Coturnix japonica: one gene and its partner. The protein of the gene in region 2 binds, or shares a complex with, the protein of the main gene of each other region. Links are inferred from orthologs where the notes say so. Each region holds a gene or a part of one and is shown on either strand. Other genes may lie near its edges. The genes, in order: PDK3 and DLAT.

What was found.
Region 1: the proteins of DLAT (region 2) and PDK3 are in contact, whole or in part, in a crystal structure (PDB 1Y8N), measured with the Homo sapiens proteins. The link is inferred for Coturnix japonica from reciprocal best matches to the Homo sapiens genes DLAT and PDK3. Residues at the interface, in NP_001922.2 of Homo sapiens: Ala225, Leu226, Ser227, Pro228, Thr229, Glu248, Gly249, Lys259, Ala260, Ile262, Glu265; in NP_005382.1 of Homo sapiens: Arg21, Phe22, Ser23, Pro24, Ser25, Pro26, Leu27, Phe48, Lys51, Val55, Asn373, Lys374, Ser375, Arg378.

The regions. Positions count from the first base shown.
Region 1 is NC_029516.1:107,567,756-107,572,063, reverse strand, and holds the start of PDK3 (pyruvate dehydrogenase kinase, isozyme 3), read right to left. Parts: upstream 3,101-4,308; 5' UTR 2,902-3,100; coding exon 2,796-2,901; intron 1-2,795. UniProt on the Homo sapiens protein: Inhibits pyruvate dehydrogenase activity by phosphorylation of the E1 subunit PDHA1, and thereby regulates glucose metabolism and aerobic respiration. Can also phosphorylate PDHA2.
Region 2 is NC_029539.1:5,401,429-5,405,813, forward strand, and holds the start of DLAT (dihydrolipoyllysine-residue acetyltransferase component of pyruvate dehydrogenase complex, mitochondrial), read right to left. Parts: upstream 3,065-4,385; 5' UTR 2,993-3,064; coding exon 2,777-2,992; intron 2,516-2,776; coding exon 2,414-2,515; intron 2,097-2,413; coding exon 1,972-2,096; intron 1,862-1,971; coding exon 1,705-1,861; intron 579-1,704; coding exon 452-578; intron 104-451; coding exon 1-103.

The DNA of each region.
Region 1 (4,308 bases), on a different chromosome or scaffold from region 2:
ATTTGCGCTCAATTCTTTTATAAGCAGCCTTTTCATTACAATCACTCTTTTCACAAAACATTCTATCGCTATCTTTACTGTCAGCTGTTTACCGTCAACAACACAACTCTAACTGTGCAGCTGCGTGGAACGTGTGAGCTCGGGCACAGCTCTGTTCTAGTTAGTCTGTAACGTTCTTGGCCTAAAGCCAGCCCTGAACAGCCAGGCAGAGTAAGCTCACGTCCTTCTGTGTGCCCTTTCTTTAAGTGCTAGGACACAACTAGACATAGAAACACTACCTTCCCCAACAGACACAGCCAGCTGGTTACTTACCTTCTTCCCCAGGCATACTTGACTGACCAGTTATCCACATAAGAAGCTGACAGGACTGCTGGCTATTTCAGATCACCTGTAGTCCTTTAAGGCATGCTTTGCACAGCTGTGGCAAGTCTAAATTAGGAGGATCTATCAAACACACAACTCCAATACTGGTATTCCTGCCCTCCTCCTCTGTGCTCTCCGATTGTGACACAGAAATCCTGAGCCCATGATGACACTGTAACCCCTCACACAGTCGTGGCAGCTATGAAGATAGCTGCAAGCTTGACAGAAAATGCATCACATATGGGGGTGGAGATACTGCTTTAAGTATTGCTTTCTGGTTAGCTTTGCAGGGCTTTGGTATTAATAAGCTAGTTTAAGTATTCACAGAATCACACAGAATTGTAGGGGTTGGAAGGGACCTCTAGAGATCATCGAGTCCAACCCCCCTGCCAAAGCAGGCTCCCTACACCACGTCACACAGGTAGGCGTCCAGGCGGGTTCTTGAATATCTCCAGAGAAGGAGACTCCACCACCTCCCTGGGCAGCCTGTTCCAGTGCTCCGTCACCCTCACTGTAAAGAAGTTCTTGTGCACACTCGTGCAGAATTTCCTATGCTGTAATTCAAACTGTCTTCCATAGAATTTTAAATGAATTAAGCTACCTGAGCAACTTTTGCAATTCAGTGAACACTTTGAGCTAATTCAGACAGCAGGGCTGTATCTCCTGATGCAGCACTATAGATTAGGGCACCAAGTGACCAATCCTTCCATGCCCAGCAGGTCACAGTTGTTGCCCCAACATCTGCCATCAGGGCATTTGATGGCAATTTCTCCTCAAAGTCTCCAAGGTCTCCGGTGGAACCTGAAATTATCCAAAGCCACCTACGCCCAGGGCTGGATAGGTTAAGTCACTGCACTGTTTTTGACCTATTGGATTAGATTGCTGTTATCTTCCTACTCAGGTTACCTCAGTAAATACGTGTGCCAAAGAGAAAGTTAGTGAAGCCGTAAACAGGCTGCAAGGCTTATTAAGATCAAGCCGACAGTTTTAGTGAGACGCAATATCGGTTTCTAATCTTATGAACTCATGAAAACATCCCATAGTGATTATAGGAGCCTGAACCACAGCCGTATTTTTACTTCTTCTTCAGAGATTTTAAATGACAGACCATATAGCTTCCTGTCAGTTGTAATATATCACTACATTAAAATACACAGTGTAAGCACACACAGGGCTCCACAGGCACATCCAGTGATAACAGCTGGGACCACAGGCAGAGAACAGCACTGGGCAGGCTCTCACTATCTTAGTTTCATAGCATTGTTTGTGACAGCACAGAAAGACACAGTGTCCAGAGCACAAATGCGAGGCATGGCTAACACAGCAGCAAAGGCACACGTGGGGATGACAAGTCAGACTGGTGAGGAGGAATACACAGGTTCTAGTCAGGTTATCATTTTAATGTAACCCAGGCTAATCAGAGAATCATAGAATTACCCAGGTTGGAAAAGACCTTGAAGATCATCAAGTCCAACCACAGCCTAACCAGTACGCTAACTCTAACAACCCTACACTAAATCATATCCCTGAGCACCACATCCAAACGGCTCTTAAACACAACCAGGGATGGCGATTCAACCACCTCCCTGGGGAGCCTATTCCAGTACCTAACTACCCTTTCTGTAAAGAAGTTCTTCCTAACATCCAACCTAAACTTGCCCTGGCGCAACTTGAGGCCATTTCCCCTCATCCTGTCACTTGTCACCAGTGACAAGGTGGGGTGCTGGGCCTTGTTTCAATGGCAGAACACCCTGTGTGCAGAGACACAGCAGCAAGAACATCCCCGCTGCTGGATCTTTGTAGTCGCAGCCTTTTTTCCACTAATACCACCGCAATAAACATGCCACTGTTTCCACTTTTAATTGCTTTCAGGCTTAATGCCTCTTTCCTGTCTCCTTGTGTCTTTAATATCACACTGGAATGAAGGAGCACTATATTAAGCCTCGTGGTGCTACGCGTGACCTTTCTATTTACTTCAGCAGCTGCATTTATAGTATAATAAAACGTAAACAGCGCTCCTGCCAGAAGAGGAAGCCAATAACCTCTGACCCAGATAGAATCGCATTGTTACCTACATCAGAACCAGCTCTCCAGCAACACAAGGCACGCCCGGGTCTCCACTCAACAGCAAAACGCTATCTGTCCATCAGCAGCGCTTCCTAAAGCATCAACTTTCCACGAGCACCACGGCTGTCAAAGCTCGTGCTCCAGCTCTGTGTTAAACCAGTCTCCACGCAGAGGGATCTCAATTTCCATAGCCAAGCTCGGCGCCCCGCATCATAAGCGCTCTCCCGACCGTCTTCCCTCTCTCCCCCCGCTCCGTGCCGTGACGGAGCACCCCGAGGCCTCCACAGCCGCCTGGCGAGGACGCGGGGGCCAGGCCTCTCCCGTCCCCCTCGCCCGGCCCGCCCCGGGCCCGCCGAGCCACTCACCGAAGTCGAGGAACTGCTTGATGGAGAGCGGCGATGGGGAGAACCGCGAGTAGTACTCGATCTGCTTAGGGATGGGGCTCTTGAGCAGCACCCCGCACAGCCGCATGGCGCAACACTTAACGCGCTGAGGCGGCGACGGCGGCGCAGCCACCCGCGCTCATGCCAAGGATCGGCCGGCCCGGCTCAGCCCGTGTCGCTGCGCGGCCTCACCCTGCCCTTACCCTGCCCGGCCAGGAGCGGCCCGGCGGGAGGGGCGAGCGGAGGGAGCCCTCCGCCCCCTCCGCCCCGCCCTACTGCGCAGGCGCGCAGGCGCCAGCCCCGCCCCGCAGCGCCGCGCGTGCGTAAAGCTTCGAGCCCCAACGGTCGAGGTGCGTGGCCTGTTGTGAGGGAGTCTGTGTGGAGCTGGGAGCTGTGGCTCCATTCCGACTCAGAAGCCCATGAGACGGGCTCAGAGTTGGACTAAATGATATTACGTGATAGAATCACAGAATGATCCGGGTTGGAAGTTGACCTCAAGGATCATGTAGTGCCAACCCCCTTGCCTGGCAGGGCCACCAAACATACACCTTTACTAGATCAGGTTGCCCAGAGCCCCGTCCAACCTGGTCTTGAACACCTCCAAGGACGGGGCATCCACAACCTCCCTGGGCAGCCTGTTCCAGGGCCTAACCACTCTCCTGGTGGTTATATACCATTCACAACTAGAAGGGAAGAAAAGAGATTTTATTTGGGAACTGGCTTGTCATTGTCTCCTAGAATCTCCAGCATTCCTGCTCACTTTGAGATATCCCACTGTGGTACATAATAGGGTGATCAGAAATCTATAATATAATTTAGAAAATAATGATATAACGTAATGACTTGTAAATAGAGTTTGATTTTGACATGGTGTAGGGAGCCTGCTGTGGCAGGGGGGTTGGACTCGATGATCTCTAGAGGTCCCTTCCAACCCCTACAATTCTGTGATTGTGTGTGATTCTGTGATTTAATAGCTGTGTGGAATGAAGTGGAGTAACTGGAGGAAAACTGGTACAGAACTGATACCCTAACAATTTGCATGACTGTCTTTCACATTAAGAAAATGAAAGAAGTAATGGAAATGATGCAGATGTGCTTCAAGCAGAAAGGAGAAGCCAGAGCTTCGTCTTTAAGGTGAGGAGTTAGGAGTTTATATTCCCCCATAGCTATTTATTAAAACATTCAGAATGTGTTGGTCAAAATAAAGCCTCGCAGTCATCTTACTTGGAGCTTTGTTTCCTGAATGGTCATTGAAGTCAATATCTGCGAAAATAAAGAGGAGTAGGATCTTACTGTGAACTATGATCAGCCCAAAGTAATTGTCAAGCTAATATTTTCAAAGGTATCTTTAGTCTTGGAAACAACAACAACCCAAACTTTAAAGCTTTCTTTAACCATTTCACTAATTTGCGGGGTTTTTTGTTTGTTTGTTTGTTTTAGCATTTTCACCTAGAGCAGTGAGCGTGGAAGAGCCTCTGCTGCTTAATCTCTACAT
Region 2 (4,385 bases):
TCCTTCTCCACAATGATGCATAGGGTTGTTCCTAATGGCACATCTCTTGTTCCTTCAGGCACCAATATTTTTGCCAGGTAGCCTTCCTCCTGTACTTCAAAGCCTGAAGGGGAAAGAAACAAAATTGTTTTGGTGCCTGTCACACCAAACAGTAACTCTGAAAGACTTCAGTAACTAAAGCTGTGTCTGTATCTGGTAGACAATTCTTTTTTTTTATTTTTTCAGTGTAAAAGGTAGGAAATATCTCTTGTGCACTGTACATTCCTACCAGGGACTGATGGGCAAACAGTTATTTCTGGGAGCTCCAGTGGTTCTCTCTCCAGCAGCATGAGAGCAACAAAACACTTTTTAACTGCCCCACATCTTCATGTCCTGAGCAGCTGGGGAACAGCCAGCACAGAGGCTCCTCTAGATCCTCCCTCATCTGTTCTTGCCTTTGGAGTTGACTCACCTATTGTGGCTTTGTCTGTCTCAATTTCTGCTAGTAAGTCTCCCTCGTTCAGTTTCTCCCCGACCTTCTTTTCCCATCTCTGCACTGTGCCCATTGTCATGGTGGGTGACAGAGCTGGGAGAGCAACCTGTAAGCCAGAGTACGAATGCATCAGATTTTGGAGACTCAAAAGGAACAGTGACATAGTCGAGAACTCTTGACTAAATGATGCCAACGTAAAGGAGCAGAAAACGTTTAACACACTCTTAGATCTGCTTCCATTACAGCAAAGCACAGTTTCGTGCTGTATCTCAAGTTTGGCTTCTTTTGTCAAGGCAAGAAAACAAGCAAATGCAAAAATGAAGAAATCTAGATAATTAGTACCATCATCCCTGGGGACAGTCTTGCAGCTGCTGTCTGTAAGGCTCAAAGGAAGGCTACAGCAAGTTACTTTTGACTCTGACAAACATGCCTCGTTCCTGTAACAGCTATACAGACTTGTCTTCCACTAAGCGCTTAAATGTGCTGTAGGTTTAGACACATACTGTGTAAAACAAACACAGCACACATAACAGCTTTAGAACAGAACTGGGCAGATAATGCAATTAACCAAGTAGCTGAATTCAAGTCAGATCAAGAAGCACTGAATTAATACCCAGTTCATGTATTGACTTTCCATAGCATCTCAGACAAATCAGTTTCTGCACGTCTTTAACTGTGAAAGGAGATATTTTGGATCTCGGGTTTCAAATTAACATCACAGAACTACCCTGCTATAAAGTGCTCAGACAGAACAACGATGGATGCACACTTCAGTATCTAAGCAAACAGATTATCCACAAATAGAGCTCATTTTCAGTTGCTCACAAACACATCTGGTATGTTCAGAGTATCACAGACTTCTGGGTTCTGCTGAGATCTGAGCAGGGCCCTCAGGCCACTCACACTAAGTACAAAGTCTTTTTATATCAGAGCTGTCCAAACCAAAGGAATGCAGCAGTTTTTTTCTCATCTGCTCAAGTAGCCACGAGAAACAAGTTATCTCCTACCAGCAGCTGGGATAACAAAAATCATTGTAATAAGAAAACTTTCTGGGACCACCACGAACAGCTGCTTTAAGCACACACCACTTTGAGAGCCATGTGCTCCTGTGGTTGTAGCTAATGCTCTCCTGTTCCTGACAGTATTTATGACAAAACGTCCTAAATCAAATGAGGCCAAAAAAAAAGAAAAAGCATGCAACAAACCTCAGATGGTTAATAATGCTCTGTTACCTGCATGTGAGGAGGATAAGAGCTGCCAGGAGCCTGAGGAGAAGGCGGAGGTGGGGGTGAGGGTGCTGCAGCTGGAGGAGGAGGCACTGAGGCTGCAGGGGGAGCAGATGCTGCAGAATCCAGAGTGTAATTTTTAAAGGCATCGACATGTTCAGGCCTAAAAAAACCCAAACAATCAGACCAATGACACTGTCATGGCCTTTAGCACAGGGCACACACAAAGCCCCAACAGAGAAAATTCAACTAAAGGGTTTGGAAAATACATACTTCTCTACTGTGATACATATTATGGCCCCAATAGGAACATCTCTTGTTCCCTCCGGTACCAGGATTTTGGCCAGGTAGCATTCCTCCAAACTCTCAAAGCCAACTGTTGCTTTGTCCGTCTCCACCTTTCAAAGAAAGAACAGGACATTGTTATGGAAAGGGAACAGCCGTGAGCTCAGAGCCCTCCAGTGCCATAACGTGGGGTCTGAGAGCACAGAGCCCTGGCACAAACCAACAGCTCGGGAGAGGATTCCTCTCGGAAGGGGTGGGTGCTCCTCCTGCACAGAAGGAACAAACCCAGCAGCCAGTCCTGGCAGGCTGCAGGTAATCCATCTCCAGCAAGATCTTCACAAAACGTGCTCAAGAGAGGGCGGGCAGTGACAGAACCCAGAGCACACCCGCAGCCCAGTGTAAGCCCGGCACACCCCGCACCCTCTGATACCTCCGCGATGAGATCCCCTTCGCTGATCTTGTCGCCCTCCTTCTTCTCCCAGCGCGCGATGGTGCCCATCTGCATCGTGGGGGACAGCGCCGGCAATGCCACCTGCAGGGGGAGGAGCAGCGTCACGGCACGAGCAGCCCCCGGAGCCGGAGCTCGGGGCAGGGCGGGACGGCAGGAACAGCCCGACTGCCACCTCCCGGCGGGGCAGGAAGGTGGGATGGCGCTAAGCGGGGGAGCTGTACAGAACGGGCCTAAGGGCGCCGGAGGAACGGCGGGCGGTAGCGGGGCTCGGGGAGCGCGGGCAGGAGGGGTGGAGGGCCCGCAATGCCGAGCGGGGCTCGGAGCGGGCGGCAGAGCTCTCACCTTCTGGTGCGCCGGCAGGCTGCAGCGGCGGCACGGCACGAAGCGGGGCCAGGCGAGAGGCGGCAGCAGCTCGTTGGGCCTCAGTGCCGGACCGCGGCCCCGAGACACGGCGCCCACCGCCGCCGCGCGACCGGCCCCGGCGGAGCTGAGCGCCCGGCAGCCCCGCGCCAACCCCGCGGCCCCCGGGGCTACGCGCTGCGCCAACACCCGCCACATGCTGCACCGGAGCCGCCGCACCGCACCGCACCGCACCGCACCGCAGCACCGCTCCGCCGCTCGGTGACCTCCTCCGTCCGGGCGCGGCGCCGCACGGCCCGCACGACACTGCTGCGCTGCAGTAAAGCGCGGACGGAGGGGGGGGGGGGGGAGGCGCGGAGTGACGCCGTGTGGGCATGCGCCGCGTCCCGCCGCGCTCCTTAAGGCAGCTCGCACAGAAAATGATGAGCACCAGGTCGAGTTAATACGAAAATATAATGTAACGTATAACGGGGTACAGCGTCAGCTTAAAAGTATGGGAGCGGGCAGTAAGTTGGCAGACGGGCAGAAATAAATACGGATTCCAGCCAACGGAGCGGAGGTCCCGCGTGCAGCATGAAGAGCACGTTTACAAAACAAACCCGCTGAAGTGACTGCGGTGGCAGCACCATTTCATGTAGATACAACAGCTCCTTTCCCATTGCAAACTGGGTACCAAAAGGGCAAGGTATCCCTTAGAAGCTCTGATAACAGCTCCGCCATCAAACAACATGAAGTGGCAGCTACAGACCTTGAGAACTGTCTCCATAAAATCCTGTCCTGGGTGTGTGACCCTTGGCTGAAATAGAACCAATGAGCAAAACTCGATGAAACGCTTGAGAAACAAACTGCAATTGAATTACAACTGATTCCAATAGAACAACCCCATGCTGTATTTAACAACCCACTGAAACACAAGCATCAGAAAACTATTTCCAGGGGGGATGAAAATCCTTCTTTTCCAAGCGAGATGTGTTCCCCTGCCTGCAGCTATTGATGCATTTACACACTGATGAGCTTTTCTACTGATACCAGCCTCTGTCCGTAAAGAAAAAGTCACCACAACAAATCATGCAGAGCAGCAGCTGTGCTGCCCTTTGCCAGGCTGGCACAGGGCCCTGTAAAACCCTTCAGCTCTTTCTTGCTTGTACAAGCGGGCAAAACATAAAATCCAGTGGGAACTAGTTGAATTTCCAAAGTAAAATAAAGTCAAACCCAGTGTTGTGTGAACAGAAGACAATACAAAACATCTCAGGATCCACCAGAGAGAAAAACACCATATAATGCGTGCAGAAATATACAGAAAGCACTTGCACTGGTATAAAAATATCCACGGTCATCAGACAATGTAAACTGGTACAAAATAATTCCAAACAGTAACATATTTACAGAGGGATGTGTTAATATAAAACAGTAAAACCAGGTTCACCCTCTCCCAGCCTCATGCACGGTACAGACATGCGGGCAGGCCGTGAAAGGGCCACACAGACCAAGAATGAGCAGAGCCTTGACTTGCCATTTGAACTTTAAAGTCAACAGTGCCTGCTGCAGACCGGAGCCAGCGCTGCGCAAGTGGAGCTGACAGGTAGCAGGA